2 linked regions of the Arabidopsis thaliana genome follow. The protein of the gene in region 1 interacts with the protein of each later gene in a biochemical or structural test. Each region holds a gene or a part of one and is shown in the gene's direction. Other genes may lie near its edges.

Region 1 (7,966 bases):
TGAACAACATTACAGTTAGAATAATCCTCATTCATTTTAAGGATGAGTTAGGAATCCCAAACTCTTACCAGTTTCTGGCTTCGGTTATCCGAATTCGACTTAGGCGACTTCTTCCCGAGAAGCAAAGTCTTGATCCATTTACCAGGAGTCTTTCCCATTCTTGATGGCGCCTAAAAATAATGAGTTGCTAAACGTAGAAACCTGCAGAAGAACAAGCCAAGTCTGTAAATTCTCACAAACAAAGTAAACAAGCTCATCCAGTGAATTTCACCAGCAAAGAAACAAGCCAATTCTGTGAACTTTTACAAGCAAAGAAAGTAGCTAAATTTGTGAATGTTCACTTTTAACACAGCAACATAGCCAACGAACATGAAGAAGTTGCAGCTGAAAAGTATTTAACAGGAACATACAGTACCACAATCCATCAGCTAAAGACAATGGTTCAGTAATATAATAACATAAAAAAGTAGCATGAATCAAGGCATAAAATAAAAAAAGTAACGGAAGCCAGAAATAAAACAGATGGCATTAAATGAAGTGAACAAAAGCAGAGATCTTGAAGACAGCAAACCAAAATCATGAAGATCCAGCAGATAAACCAATATCCAAAAATTAAGCTGGTAAAGTTCCAATTGAGAAAGAAAAAGAAAAAAAGTTCCAATTGAGCAAGATACCAAAGTAAAAATCAAACCTTTCTATCAAATTCAGAGCTGAGGAAGTGATATAAAGATAAATCTAACGATCAGAGATTAATCAGATCTGGGTATAAATCAAAAGCAGACAATTTTAGCAAAAATGGTGAAAAAGGAAATTAAAACGTCAACCTCAGAGAATTGAATTGATGAGTAGTAGTACCAAACTTACTGTGGTTGTTCTTCGAATGTTGTCCTTCCTTCTAAAAGTCGGAAACAAGATCAATGACCTAAAAGGCTTAAAGGCATAGTGGTAGCTCACTGTGAACAAATAGTCTTCCCCAACGGTTCCACTGATAGCGAAAGAAGAAGATGACAGATATTACCACTTTTAATTAGAAAGAAAAAATTAATTAAGGAATAGACAAAAACAAAAGAAATTTCGGTTCAAAGCGACGTCGTTTGGAATGATGTGTAGGCAAAGTCTAAAACTAGGCCTTTCTGGGCCCAATTAAAGGAGTCAAAGGGAGTTATTTACAGAAATACCCTCCTTTTTCTTGGATCATGATCATGACATTGATGATAAGTGATAACCTTTTTTCTAAAACAATACTAACAATCAAGAATGATGGGTGTCATTATCCAAGTGGTTAGTTCGCTTAATCCAAACATCTAATCTAGTATTCCTAATCAATTATTTAAATCGTAACCACTAACCAGCTCATGATAGGAATGTATTGTATTCTAACTAGATATTTTTTGACGTTTCATAAACGAATGTGAAAGAAACATGATTAAATTATCACTATAATAAAGTTTAGATTTGATTCTGTTCGAAGTTGAATCCTGGTTTTAAGAAATGAATATCTTAAAATGTTTGAATTTTTTTTGTGGATAACTTTACATTAGCAAATTTTATGTCACAACTAAACTACAGTGTAAACTTTATGATATTTTTTTTTTTCTGAATTTATTCAACTATATGCTATATAATTTGGGTAATTTATTTTGAACATGCCTAATTTATATGGACCTAAAGATGCATATTTTGGGCCTTAAATTAGTTGGATACATATATGGGTTTAAATTCTAACCTTTAATAAGCCTATAAGCCCAAAAAATAACAGTTTGTAAGTTATCTGACAAAGGATTTTAATAATAAAGCTGCATATAAAATTGAAAAGAAATGCATGTTGTATAATATTAATTGATACTTTGGCAGTGTCGCTTATTACAAAGGCAGTTGCATGTGATGTGCTTGCAAACTCGCATTTTATCTTCCCTTACCTTTTTGTTTTTAGAAAATAGTATATTTTTTCATCATGATTACTTGGAAACTTGGAAGCTGTGACAAAATATTGGTTTTGAGTGCTTCTGATAAAACCTTGTATTTTGAACTTGAAAACTTTTGTTTTCAGCCATTTTTTTAACTTACTACGATGACGGTCACTTGTTTTGGGATGAAACTTTTTACTACTTGGTGTTGGTGATGCATGGTTTCTATAATTCCTCTTATACAACAAAACTTTTTTGGTTTTTGTCAAAAATTGTATATAACCAACCTTCTTTTTATTAGGATCGCACGTCAGGCCACTTAAAAAGAAGTAAAGAACAATGAGAGATCGATGTAAAAAGAATAAAGGAACAAAAGAGAAAGTAATGGACAGTTCATCACAATTCACACACCAAAAAGAAAACAGCTGAACATTTGTTAGAATCTCAACACTTTCCAAACACACGAAAACAAAATGACACTCATTTCTCACCGACAATAGTGATGAAAATATATCATGGCCGAACTAATTGGTAGTATTATTAGTTTGAGATTGGTATTTTTTGTAACAGTTTGATATTGAATTGTTGATTGATGACCACGAGAAAAAAGAAGTACGATTTATATCATTTGTTGGTTTACTGTATATAGATGATCATTTGGTGTCCTTCTGGTTTCGAGAAAAACAACAAGTGGTTAAAAGTGTAGTTCGAGAAAAAGATTTGGTTAGGACATGTAATTCTTTATTTGAGCTTTTAATCCAACGAACGGGGTTAGATTTTCCTTGCGACGGTGGCTTTGGATGATCCTTAACGGCACGATCTGATCATTACATATTTACATTGACGAAAGAGCACGTGTAAAAAAACTCGTTCACTGGTCTGGTTGACTTTTATTACATACTGTCTGGTCGCTATATATCTATCAAATCTCTATGCATTAACAATTAATGCAACGTTGCTCATTAATTAAGTATGTATTTTTTGTTATTTTACAAGTAGTATTGATATTACAGGAGTTAAAATGTTATAAAAGAAACTACAAACATTTATTCGTAAGTTTATTCATTTATATTTTTTAAAAAATTGGTAAAGATGAAAGAATTTACCTTGGGGAAGAGATCAACGGATTTCGAGAGAAGTACTACTACACAACATTTATTCGTCAAACATGTATGTATTTGTATGTTTATGCATGTATTATGTATCAAATAAATGCATGTTATATGAGTAATAAAGAAAGGTCTTCTGACCATAACAGAGAAATTAATTAAGAACCAGTTGAAGTAAATAAATAACTCTAAATTGTGGAAATTTTAGATCAAAAGTAGATAAATAGTCAGATATTTCATGTGGATTTTACGTATTTTAAGGATCTAATTCATTTTATGCTTTTAAAAAATTTCATTCACTTTCTTCGAAGCAGTAAAACAGTCTGTCAATGTGAAACTTATGAACAATCAACATAAGAAACAAAAATTAAACAAAATTTGTATTTATTGTCTTCTTCTCAGCAGAACTTCTCTCCACTTAATTTTGTTTCTTGCTCTGTCCCAAAAACATTGTTTCATTTTTTTATCTCCCAATTTCCCTAGAAAATCTGCTTCCGATCTAAAAAAATCTCTAGAATTTATGTACAAAACACCATTTTTTTAGACTACTAAACAAATACTAACACTAATCTCGGCTACAATAACAGAAAGACCTTCTGTTCCTTAAGCCACAATAACATCTTTCTTTCTAATTTCTCTGTAATTCTTCCTGAGAGAATGCATAGTTCCTCTAAAAGCCAGGCCTTTTCTCTCACTTTTCTTCTCTTTCTTTTTCTTCTGCCATCAGTCTCAGAATCACAGCTAATATCAAGTGAATCAAGAACTCTATTAGAAATCCAAAAGCATTTACAATATCCACCAACTCTTCGATCATGGAGCAACTGGACCAATTTCTGCTACCTCCCTTCTTCTCCTTCTTTCAAAATCCTCTGTTTCAATGGTCATGTAACTGAATTAACCGTCACGGGGAACAGAACCGTTAAGCTCCCCGGAAGATTCTCAAGCGACTCACTATTCACTGTTCTTACAAAACTCTCAAACTTAAAGACATTGTCTCTGGTCTCTCTTGGCATCTCTGGTCCTCTCCCTTCACAGATCATCAGGTTATCTTCATCTCTTCAATCTCTGAATCTCAGTTCTAATTTCATCTCTGGGAATATTCCTAAAGAGATCTCGTCGTTGAAGAATCTGAGAAGTCTTGTTCTAGCGAACAATTTGTTTAACGGAAGTGTTCCTGATCTCAGAGGATTGTCGAATCTTCAAGAGCTGAATTTAGGCGGTAATAAACTCGGTCCTGAAGTTGTTCCTTCACTTGCAAGTAACTTGATTACTATTTCATTGAAGAACAACTCTTTTGGATCAAAGATTCCAGAACAGATCAAGAAGCTGAATAAGCTTCAGAGCTTAGATCTTTCCTCCAACAAGTTCACTGGCTCAATCCCAAGATTCCTGCTTTCGCTTCCTTCGCTTCAGAATCTAAGTTTAGCACAAAACTTGCTGAGTGGATCACTTCCAAATTCATCGTTGTGCAACTCCAAGCTTAGAATTTTAGATGTTTCTCGGAATCTTCTGACTGGGAAGCTTCCATCTTGCTTCTCTTCCAAGAAACAGACAGTACTGCTCTTCACATTCAATTGCTTGTCTATAAATGGTTCTCCTTCTGCAAAGTATCAGCGTCCAGTTACCTTCTGTGAAAACGAAGCAAAGCAAGCAGTAGCTGCTGTGAAGTCTGACACTAAAGATAAAGAAAGGAAAGAAGAAGATACAGGAATCGAACTTGGATTGGTGATTGGCATTATCATCGGTGTGATCCTCGTTTCAGCGGTTTTAGCTGGCTTGGTTTTGGTTAGGATGAGAAAATCAAGATCAAAAGAAGAGCCTTTGGAAGCAAACAACGTCGATCAGGTCACTGTTTGCAGCAACACCACCAGGTCCACCACATCAAAGACAGTACCAGATCTAAGTAGGCTATTACTTTGAAATCTTGAATCAAGTTTTCACACCCATTAACCTAACTAGCTTGATTTTTTCAAATGCAGGACGTGTACCGCAAACCATGAGATCCGCGGTGATTGGACTATCACCATACCGAGTTTTCTCTTTGGAGGAACTGGAAGAAGCAACCAACAATTTTGATGCAGAGAATCTCTGTGGAGAACAGGTAAAGGAAAATGTAAATAAGACATGATTTAAAATTGATCCGAGTGTCTAACTAATCGATATATCTAATTTCAAAACAGCTGTACAAAGGTTGTCTTAGAGAAGGCATAGCAGTGACAGTGAGGTGTATTAAGCTGAAACAGAAGAATTCAACACAGAATTTAGCTCAACAAATGGAAGTTTTATCAAAGCTAAGGCATATGCATTTGGTCAGTGTTCTTGGACACTGCATTGGTACTTATCAAGATCATCATCCTTATGCCGGAAGCACTATTTTCATTGTCCAAGAATATATCTCTAACGGGTCTTTGAGGGATTACCTCACCGGTAATACTTGAAAAAGATTATCGATTTCAAGAACTTATATTTTTGTTGGGAAACTAATTATTTGGAAATGTTTTTGGCAGATTGGAGAAAGAAAGAGGTGTTGAAATGGCCTCAGAGAATGTCGATAGCGATTGGAGTTGCTCGAGGAATACAGTTCTTGCACACAGGAGTGGCACCAGGAATATTTGGGAACAATTTGGAAATAGAGAATGTTTTACTTGATGAAACACTCACTGTAAAACTCAGTGGTTATAGTATTCCTTTACCATCCAAGGTATATAAACAAACCAGATATAATATAATCAGGATATAGCTTCTAATCTTCAGTTTAACCTCTCATGAAATATATAACCTTCTGGGGGAATTTCAGGTTGGAGCGGAGAGCCCTAGTAATGAAGATGGAGAGAAAGAAGATGTGTACCAGTTTGGAGTGATACTAATTCAGATCATCACAGGCAAAGTAATAGCAGCTGCATCTTCAGAGTTGGGGAGCTTGAAGCTTCAGCTGGAGAACAGTTTGAGAGACGAACCATCGGTGTTGCGTAGCTTGGCAGATCCGTGTGTGAGAGGAACATATGCATACGAGTCATTGAGAACCACAGTAGAGTTTGCCATTAACTGTCTTTGTGAAGATCAGAGGAAGCGGCCATCGATAGAGGATGTTGTATGGAATCTGCAGTACACAATTCAAGTGCAACAAGGATGGACAAGCAGTGAGAACCTCGGGCTTGGTGGTTCAGAACTATAGAAGAGAAATATAAAATCACCATCCTTGAAGAACATAGAGAAACTGATCAATGTCAAATTCAAGGCCTATATGAGAATACATAAAGTTGAACCTACTAATACTTAAGGTACTTACGAGTCTCATGTGAAGCTTCAGATTTTGGTGTAGAAATTGGATTAGCGTCACAAAGAAAGCAATGCAATTGTTAAGGCAATGAAAGGGTGTAACAGAAGGATAAGGCCACAAACCCTTAAATAAAATATCGCAACTTTGTGGAATTTGGGTACAAAGTTGTTTTTTGTAGCTAGCAAGTAAATCGTAATACATATATACACAAAAGTGAATAATTCAGATGGTTTGGTACAAAGTTGTTTTTTTAAGGATGTTGGGTTACATCAAAGCATGGAATCACTTAAATAGTTTTGGAAACACAAGACATGAATGAAAAGAGAAGAAAGCTGTTGCTGAATCGTGATTGAGAGAAAGTAGAGAGAGCTACAACGCTTACAACAAACTACTACTAGTCAGCAGTCCAGCTTTGCTCAACAACATCACGCACTCTCCTGTTGTACTCGCGCTTGCTTTCGCTGTACATCCGAGCAGCTTCCGAGTTTGCAGGAGAATTCGGATTAGGGTCACAGAGCAAGGACTGCAATAACAAAGGGAAAAACGGATTAGAGAAGAAGAAAGCAATTCAAGCTTTTAAGGGCATCAAGAGATGTTCATATGGCATTTTGAATTCACCTGGATGGAGGTAAGTATAGCAGCAACATCATAGATTGGACTCCACTGGTTTTGTAGAATGTCCAAGCAGATACTCCCATCTGCATAAACTACACAACGAATAGAGCAGAAGAACGTTAATTGGAGGCAAAAGCTGAACATCAACCAGGTGGATAGAAAATCCAATGTTGTATCTCTATAACTTACTATTAGGATGAAACATCCGTGACACAAACCGAACTGTTGGTGGTTTATTGGGATAATCTTCAGAGAACTGCAGTGAGAGTTTGAAAGTACCTGAACAGCATCAAGAAAGAGACATAAGAACACCACTACAACGATCCCAAAAATTTATGCTTCTTGTCAAAATGCAATAACATATCATAACCATACCTCCATCCCATGGTGTGTCATCAGGCCTACAAATTTAGAAACAAAAAGGTCTAAGTAAGTACAGAAATGACAAAAGTTTCAGAAATATTTAGCCAGTATCTAAAGGTACTTGTTCCCATTACCCAAATATGACAGCATTCCAGAGCATAATGTTGTTGTCCTGTGGAGCACCACTAATACCCGCAGGTGGGTCTTGCTGCAACCTCTTGAAATCCCTCATTAACCTCTTCCTTGCTGGCGTCGACATCCTCCTTTCTTTCTAATAAACAAAACCCACCAAATATTCATCACCTTTTAAGGTCTCGAACCTCTATCAATCTAGAAATTACTACTAACGATTTACGTATGCTAAAGTTGCTAACTTTGTACTAGATTCGAATCTTCCTAACAAGTCTACGACCTATGATTAGCTTAGAAGAAACATATAAGGCTTGAACCTAGAAACAGCTTAAGATCGCATCAATTCACCAAAATAGCCACACACAAATGATAAGATGAAAGTAAAATCAACGGATCCAGTAAACAAACATAGAAGAACAGAGATCGGATGAAAATGGTACCGTGGAAACAGATCTCGTTGTTGAGGTAAAGATCGCGGAGAGAAGAGGTCGTCAAACAAACATATGTGTTCAGCGGTGTTGACCGCCGGTAATCAGAGAAAGTTTTCCGATCGATTCAGG
Region 2 (8,866 bases), on another chromosome or scaffold:
ATTAATCGACGTACTGTACAGTAATAGTAGTATGTAATATTATTTACCATTCTAATTAAACATGATATATTCAATGTAGCTAATTTGTTCCATCTCCATCGTTCTTCTGGTCAAACAAATAAATATATGCTATATATATATCATATAATTGATTCCCAAAATATATGGAAAATAACAATTTATAATTTGATTTTTTTTTTTAAAACCTATGTTTTTCAATGTTTTTATTTAAATTCAATCTTATTATATAAAATATGGTTTTCAAAGTTACTAATTCATATGATTATGTTACGTGTCAAATCTATCGATCAGATGTTGACATGTGTAAGAAAATAATTAATTTTTTTCTTCTTAAAGAAATAGAAATACTTAAAAAGAAATCAATTAACTTTTTTCTTCTTAAAGAAATAGAAAACTAAAAAATAAATCATTATTAACATATACTAATTCATATGTCTATATCTAAAAAATATTACATTTTATTTTTCTTAACCAAAAGGAAAATTAGCAAAAAAAAAAATCTTATTATATAAAGTATGGTTTTCAAAGTTACTAACTCATAAGATTATGTCACGTGTCAAATCTATCGATCAGATGTTGACATGTGTAAGAAAATAATTAACTTTTTTCTTCTCAAAGAAATAGAAATACTTAAAAAGAAATCAATTAACTTTTTTTTTCTTAAGGAAATAGAAAACTAAAAAATAAATCATTATTAACATATACTAATTCATATGTCTATATCTAAAAAATATTATATTTTATTTTTCTTAACCAAAAGGAAAATTAACAAAAAAACAATCTTATTATATAAAGTATGGTTTTCAAAGTTACTAACTCATAGGATTATGCCACGTGTCAAATCTATCGATCAGATGTTGATATGTGTAAGAAAACAATTAACTTTTTTCTTCTTAAAGAAATAGAAATACGTAAAAAGAAATCAATTAACTTTTTTCTTCTTAAAGAAATAGAAAACTAAAAAATAAATTATTATTAACATATACTAATTCATATGTCTATATCTAAAAAATATTATATTTTATTTTTCTTAACCAAAAGGAAAATTAACAAAAATATATATATATATATATATATGTTATTGGTCAAATTTTTAATATATATGGTATTAACAAATGTTTTATTATTATGAATTATGTTTTGTTAATTGTTAATAATTTTTAATATTAACTAAGATATAGATTTGATCTCATATATATATACTATTTTGACATGAAATCATTATCAAGTAAGATAAAGTGTGTAGAATTAAAATCGAGTTTTTTATGAAATAGATAGTTAAATTGTATTACAAAATTGAATGTATAAGATAAAAATTTATTTTTTCTTCTAAATACTAAATTATAATATAAAAAAAAGTGTGTAGGTTACTATTTATACTTCAAATATCATCAATAAGATTGAATGGGTATAACAAAATAAAATGTATAAGACTACTATTTTACTATTCAAAATTATATATCAAGAACAATGTATCGATTATTATTTTACTATTCAAAATTTAAATATTATCGATAAAAATTACATTTACATCTTACACCCGCCTATTTAGGCGGGCCTTATCTAGTATTATATATTTTTAATTTTAAGACCGTTTTATGCTTTGACTAATGTTTATAGGATGAAAGGCATGATATAAGAATGTCAATATATTGACCCCATAATAAATGGTCTAATATCGCTTTTTAGATGTTTGAAGCATATATTTTTTGCTCAAATTTAAACAGAAACCAAAATATTTAAATTTGATATTTTATTTATTTATTTCAAAATATTTAAAACCTTGTTAATTTTGATTTGTGTTTACGGTATTTAAAAACTAAACAAAAAAAAAAGTTTGATAAGAGCTTGATCAGTGACAGTACATGGAAATTAAATGCATATAATAAATAAGGCTTATAAGTTGAGGAGTCAAATATGGGCCTGATATTCAGAATAAAAAAGCCCATTAATTAGGTGAACATGCCCAAGTCAGAATAAAATCTGTTGTTACGTCAAGCAAATGGAAGCGGGAGATATATATTTGCTCCCTATTGGACAACTTCAACTCTTGGGCAATCGAAGCTTTGAATATGTTTTGTGGCTGGGCCCATTAACCCAAAATTAGAAATTAACATGTCGTGTGTCATGAGAACAGAGAATATAGGGTCAGTTGTGATGGCATGGACATGGTTAATGCAGGGTGCACAGGGATTTAACATTACATATAAAACCATATTGGTTACGTCTATCATTAGTTTGGGCTAAACCATACATATTTGTTATTCTTTTCTTTCTTTGGGTGTCAAATACTCATTTATAATAAACACCACGTACACACACACACACACACACAAAATTGGTAAGTGTACAGTTTTTATAGGAAAAGAAGACAATTTCTATACCTACCTAACAATGGATAAACAATTCCATCGAATTGAGAAACGATGGTCACATCTTGATTCACAATACATTCAACTTGAAATTAAAGTTGAAGAGTGATAGTTGTCCTTATAATATCTGTATATTGAACAAAACATTGTTACTAAGAATTTGTGTTAATCATAACCAAAAAAGAAGAAGTTAGAAGTAGATTTTTTTTTTTTTGAAAAAAACATTAAAACAATTCTACTCGAGGGAGTAGGGGATCATGAATGTAAGTGTTTTTTTTTTTTTTTTTTTACATGTGAAACATAATAATGGGAAGTGGTGAGTTGTTGCTTGGGAATGAAACAAAGGTAGAGTCTTGAGATCGTTTGGTAGGCATGTTTTTTTTTTATCCTCAAATGATCATATCAGTCATTATCCCTCTTTTTTTTGCCTCTCTATTAATTTAATCTCCCCTAATTTAGTGAGTGATAATAAAGGAGTTTTTTTTTTTTTTTTAGTGAGTGATAATAAAGGAGTTAGTTTCCATCAAACTAGTTGTATGATTCACAGATAAAAACCAACAAAATAAATAAAAAAATTCGTACGAACAAATTGAAAAGAGGAGTGAAGGTAAGTAAGTCAACGGGAAGGTTGTGAGATGGAGTGAGCACCGTTTACGCTACTTCTCCACTGTGTGCATTCAATGAAGTGATTCTACTGAAAATCTTATATAAACTATACATGCATGATGCATTGAGATGCATATGTTTTTATAATTGACATAAGATTAGTAAACACATGCGTGAGTGGTACGACTAATCTAAGAGTAGTAGTGCTTGAGGTGTGGAAGCTCTCTCTCTCTACACCTTCTTCTTCATAGATGGATCGTCTAAAATCACTTAAGTAATTATCTGTATAATAAAAGAAAGGAAATGATGGCGTAGCAATGCATGCTAAGGGACAAGAAAGGCTTCGGGGGAGAGATCACTTCTCTTCTACTCCATCCTCTTTGTCTCTGCTGCTTCAAATCTCTCATCTACATGATCAGATCATTTAAGCGTGATAGACTCTTTTTTTATTTTTTTATTATTACTTATATTTTTTTTTGAAAAAGTATTAAAGTAGTAATAAAAAGCGGGGAGAGGAGAAGATTGTCTCCTAGAGCGACTTGAATCCTTGAGCTTTCAAACTCATCTCCCGGAGCTTCCCTTTTCTCTTTACTCTCTCTCTCTCTCTCTCTCTCTCTCACTTTTCTCTGTTTTTTTTCTTGGTGTCTGTCTTAATTCCACCATTAATGCTCTCTACCTTCCCTTTTACTCTTCCCCTGCTTTTGTGTTTTCTCTTTCTCTTTTCTAAACCCTTTCAAACTCTTCTTCCTCTTCTTTCTTTTTCTCCAATAACAGTTTCTTGTGCTCATGTTAAAACTGCAGCTCTTTTCCGGTAAAAAGAAAAGCTTTTTGGTCAGTTTAGTTATCCTCAAGCATCAAAACCTTACTTGAGCTCTGCATCATCATCCATGGCCATGGCCGACTAGCCTTCTTTCTTCGCTTTTTACCTCCTTAATATCTTTAAAAGCGAGAGGAAATGTTCAACGGCGCCGTTTCACTACTCTTCCTCTTCCTTGCCGTCGTTTCAGCGAGGGCAGATCCGACATTCAACGACGACGTTTTGGGTCTCATCGTTTTCAAGGCCGGACTCGACGACCCTCTCTCTAAGCTCTCTTCTTGGAACTCGGAAGACTACGATCCCTGCAACTGGGTCGGTTGCACATGCGACCCTGCCACCAATCGGGTCTCGGAGCTCCGCCTTGACGCCTTCTCTCTCTCCGGTCACATCGGCCGTGGCCTTCTCCGTCTCCAGTTCCTCCACACCTTGGTCCTCTCCAACAACAACCTCACCGGAACCCTAAACCCCGAGTTCCCTCACCTCGGCAGCCTCCAAGTCGTCGATTTCAGTGGCAATAATCTCTCGGGTCGGATCCCAGACGGGTTCTTCGAGCAATGCGGGTCCTTGAGGTCCGTTTCCTTGGCTAACAACAAACTCACAGGTTCTATTCCTGTCTCCCTCAGCTACTGTTCTACTCTCACCCATCTTAACCTCTCAAGCAATCAACTCTCTGGGAGGTTGCCCCGAGATATCTGGTTCCTCAAGAGCTTAAAGTCCCTTGATTTCTCTCACAATTTCCTCCAAGGAGATATCCCCGATGGCCTCGGCGGTCTCTACGATCTCCGTCATATCAACTTATCCAGGAACTGGTTTTCCGGTGACGTTCCTTCCGACATCGGACGATGCTCTTCCCTTAAATCGCTTGACTTGAGTGAGAACTACTTCTCCGGGAATCTTCCGGATTCGATGAAAAGCCTGGGCTCTTGCAGCTCCATCCGTCTGCGAGGAAACTCTCTGATCGGAGAAATCCCTGATTGGATCGGCGACATTGCCACTCTCGAGATTCTTGATCTCTCCGCCAACAACTTCACCGGCACTGTCCCATTCTCCCTCGGAAATCTCGAGTTTTTGAAGGATCTCAATCTATCCGCAAACATGCTCGCTGGAGAGCTCCCACAGACTCTCTCCAACTGCTCCAACCTAATCTCCATTGATGTCAGCAAGAATTCATTCACCGGAGATGTGCTTAAGTGGATGTTCACCGGAAACTCTGAAAGTTCCTCGCTTTCCAGATTTAGCCTCCACAAAAGATCAGGGAACGACACCATTATGCCCATCGTTGGATTCCTCCAAGGTCTCCGGGTCCTCGATCTGTCTTCAAACGGCTTCACCGGTGAATTACCGTCTAACATTTGGATTCTCACAAGTTTGTTGCAGCTCAATATGTCCACCAACTCTCTCTTCGGTTCCATACCCACCGGCATTGGAGGATTGAAAGTCGCTGAGATTCTTGATCTTAGTAGTAATCTTCTCAACGGAACCCTTCCTTCTGAGATCGGAGGAGCCGTCTCCCTGAAACAACTTCATCTCCACAGAAACCGCCTCTCCGGCCAGATTCCGGCAAAGATCTCTAACTGTTCGGCTTTAAACACAATGTAAGTCAACTCAATCTGTTATCTTTCTGTTAATTCACTGTGTGTGTTTTATCGTCTCTCAGTATTAATGTAGCAGTAATATGCAGAAATCTATCGGAGAATGAACTATCCGGTGCGATTCCGGGGAGCATTGGCAGTCTGAGCAACCTTGAGTACATTGATCTGTCGAGAAACAATCTCTCGGGAAGTCTTCCCAAAGAAATAGAGAAACTTTCGCATCTCTTGACCTTTAACATCTCCCACAACAACATCACAGGGGAGCTGCCAGCTGGAGGTTTCTTCAACACCATCCCTCTCTCTGCTGTCACCGGAAACCCATCCCTTTGTGGCTCCGTCGTTAACCGCTCATGTCTCTCTGTCCACCCCAAACCAATCGTCCTCAACCCCAACTCCTCCAATCCAACAAATGGTCCTGCTCTCACAGGGCAGATCAGGAAGAGCGTTCTGAGCATATCTGCGCTCATTGCCATTGGCGCAGCTGCCGTCATTGCCATCGGGGTGGTGGCTGTAACTCTGCTCAACGTGCACGCCCGATCTAGTGTTTCACGTCACGATGCAGCTGCTGCTCTCGCTCTGTCGGTTGGAGAGACGTTCAGCTGTTCGCCAAGTAAAGATCAAGAGTTTGGAAAGCTGGTCATGTTCTCAGGGGAAGTGGACGTGTTTGACACCACTGGCGCTGATGCGTTGCTCAACAAGGACAGCGAGCTGGGACGAGGCGGGTTCGGTGTGGTGTACAAAACGAGTCTTCAGGATGGGCGTCCTGTGGCAGTTAAGAAACTGACAGTGTCGGGTCTAATAAAGTCGCAGGAGGAGTTCGAGAGAGAGATGAGAAAACTCGGGAAGCTGAGGCACAAGAATGTGGTGGAGATAAAAGGGTACTACTGGACGCAATCGCTGCAGCTCTTGATCCACGAGTTTGTTTCAGGCGGAAGCTTGTACAGACATCTCCACGGAGATGAGAGCGTTTGCCTAACTTGGCGTCAACGTTTCAGTATCATTCTAGGGATAGCAAGAGGTCTGGCTTTTCTGCATAGCAGTAACATCACTCACTACAACATGAAAGCAACGAATGTGCTCATTGACGCCGCAGGGGAGGCTAAAGTCTCTGACTTTGGGCTGGCCAGACTGTTGGCTTCGGCGCTGGACAGGTGCGTCTTGAGTGGCAAGGTACAGAGCGCGTTGGGGTACACAGCCCCGGAGTTTGCATGCCGGACAGTCAAGATAACCGACAGGTGCGATGTTTACGGGTTTGGGATCCTGGTGCTGGAGGTGGTGACAGGGAAGAGACCCGTGGAGTACGCTGAGGACGACGTCGTGGTCTTGTGTGAGACGGTGAGAGAAGGGTTAGAAGAAGGGAGGGTGGAGGAGTGCGTTGACCCTCGGTTGAGAGGGAATTTTCCAGCGGAGGAGGCAATACCGGTGATTAAACTAGGGTTGGTGTGTGGGTCCCAAGTGCCGTCGAATAGGCCGGAGATGGAGGAAGTGGTGAAGATATTAGAGCTCATACAATGTCCCTCTCATGACTTAGAGTGATTAGTCAACTACAGATGAATCAATCCTCCTTGTTTGTATTTCTTCATTCCTTGTTCAATTTTCATATTATCATAATATAGTGTTCGTCTTTTCTATAAAGAAGTTTTTCTCGTGAGTTCACAATGTTGTTAAGTTGTGAATCTTCACACTAGGTTTCACAATGTTGAAGGTTGGTTCATAAAGTAGATCCAAAAGATCAACTTCTGTTACACTAAAAAGATTGTTGGTCAAAGAACTCCCAATTATACATATAACTACAATGCAGCCTTTGTGTTAAGGTTTCTCGGTTTGCTATTTTGGACGTGTTATTTGAATCTCTGTTTAGTAAGCATGATGCAAAATAGAAAACAATATGATTCTGTACAAAAATTTGAAATGGCATAAAGTCAGTCAAGCGCACTAAGCATTACTCAGAGTCTCGCACTGTCACAAATTTTAATTTATGTTTCAAAATAATCATTACTCAGAGGCTTTTTGATTGTTCTTTTCCATAAAGCGAAAAAGAGAAGTCCACCATTGTGAAGTGAAAGTCACAAAGGGTCCAAGCATGAGCTTTTTCTGTAATGCTTTCATTATTGTATAGTTATGGAGTGTCCCACACACATACTCATTTCTCATTTTCATTACTCCCAAAACTTTTAAGTTTTACTTTTGTCAGCTAATGAGCATACACTCTCATTCATTTAAGCCATGCAATGCATATACATTACTCATCACACATGGTGGTCCGGAGAAACGTATCTCAAAATAAAGTTACTTCAGTGTAAATTACAGACGATTCAGATTTCAGGCACATTTCTCATTTTAATATCATTATTATGTCTTTGCTTTTCTCATGTCGTGTCTACTGTCTCCCCCTTTATACTCCTCGTTTACACACTAAAAAGCACATTACAATATTCCTTACCTTACAATTTAAACTCCATTACAACTTTTGTTGTTCCTCTTTTTTTGCTTCCACTGTTAAAAGCACCTTCGGCTACATTTCCACAAAAAAAAAGGCTTCGGTTTATATATTTTAATAAGAAAATGAATGTGGATATGGACTATTATGGAGCAACATCAACATTTTGGGCCGTCAATGCAAAGAAGATTCAAACAATTGTAATTTAGTAAGCGCTGGACGACTTTGCAAATCTTATATCACTGCTCTCCACTAAAATAGAGTCTTGTGACAATCTAAGTTGGGAGATAAAACAAGTCCATATTCCCACCTTTTCTGTTTAGCCGGCAATAAATGGGCCGAATTTGGTCCAATAAAACAATTATCAGAATATTTGGGCCTGGTAGCCTAAAGAAATGTGACGCTTTGGCCCAATCACTTCTTTCACCAACAATCACAGAGGTCAGATGGGAATGTTGAAAGAGGGACAAAGAAGAAGAAATCGTTGCTTTTATTTAATACCAAACAATTCATAACAATCTAATTCGCTGCTCAGCTTGTTGATCCATGGGACTAGAAAATTGATGACGACGATGATGAGAGTAACCACAACACCAACGCCTTTTGCTTTCTTTGCCACTACCACCGCTCGATTCCTAACCAATTTGATGAGTTTCTTCTTCGTATCCACTTCCCTCTGTTTTCGTCCACGGAAGAGAGCAAAAAGACTCCGTCGGAATCTGACCCAATCGGACGGTTTGGATTTGAGATGATGATGATGCTTTCGGAATCTTAAGAGGATTGACCATCGATGAAGCGAGAGCTTGTTCCGTATATTGAGCTTCAAACTGAAACCTTTGGCTCTCACACATACTTTAAGCTTCCACACCACCCCCACTCCCAACCTCCTCCTCTGCTCTTCTTCTTCTTCTTCACTCATCACTCATCACTCATTCACTCTCACTTGTCAATTAGGGCAGCGTCATACATAACCTAAGCAAAACAAAAACCAAGATGGGCTTTTCCACTAACATAAATT

What was found. The genes of interacting proteins can lie anywhere in the genome.
Region 2: the proteins of AT1G14390 (region 1) and AT5G01890 form a complex in vitro, tested with the Arabidopsis thaliana proteins (one large-scale study listed by BioGRID).

Annotation. Positions count from the first base shown.
Region 1 is NC_003070.9:4,920,604-4,928,569, forward strand, and holds AT1G14390 (Leucine-rich repeat protein kinase family protein), read left to right. Parts: upstream 1-3,433; 5' UTR 3,434-3,673; coding exon 3,674-4,919; intron 4,920-4,995; coding exon 4,996-5,117; intron 5,118-5,196; coding exon 5,197-5,443; intron 5,444-5,523; coding exon 5,524-5,717; intron 5,718-5,813; coding exon 5,814-6,191; 3' UTR 6,192-6,311; downstream 6,312-7,966. Other genes in the region: IQD28 (IQ-domain 28), read right to left, coding at 69-158; UBC1 (ubiquitin carrier protein 1), read right to left, coding at 6,691-6,819, 6,915-7,003, 7,101-7,190, 7,287-7,312, 7,409-7,533.
Region 2 is NC_003076.8:339,739-348,604, reverse strand, and holds AT5G01890 (Leucine-rich receptor-like protein kinase family protein), read left to right. Parts: upstream 1-3,147; 5' UTR 3,148-3,954; coding exon 3,955-5,411; intron 5,412-5,497; coding exon 5,498-6,944; 3' UTR 6,945-7,229; downstream 7,230-8,866. Other genes in the region: AT5G01895 (uncharacterized protein), read right to left, coding at 4,695-5,240; AT5G01881 (uncharacterized protein), read right to left, coding at 8,339-8,767. UniProt on the Arabidopsis thaliana protein: Leucine-rich repeat receptor-like protein kinase that may play a role in vascular tissues development.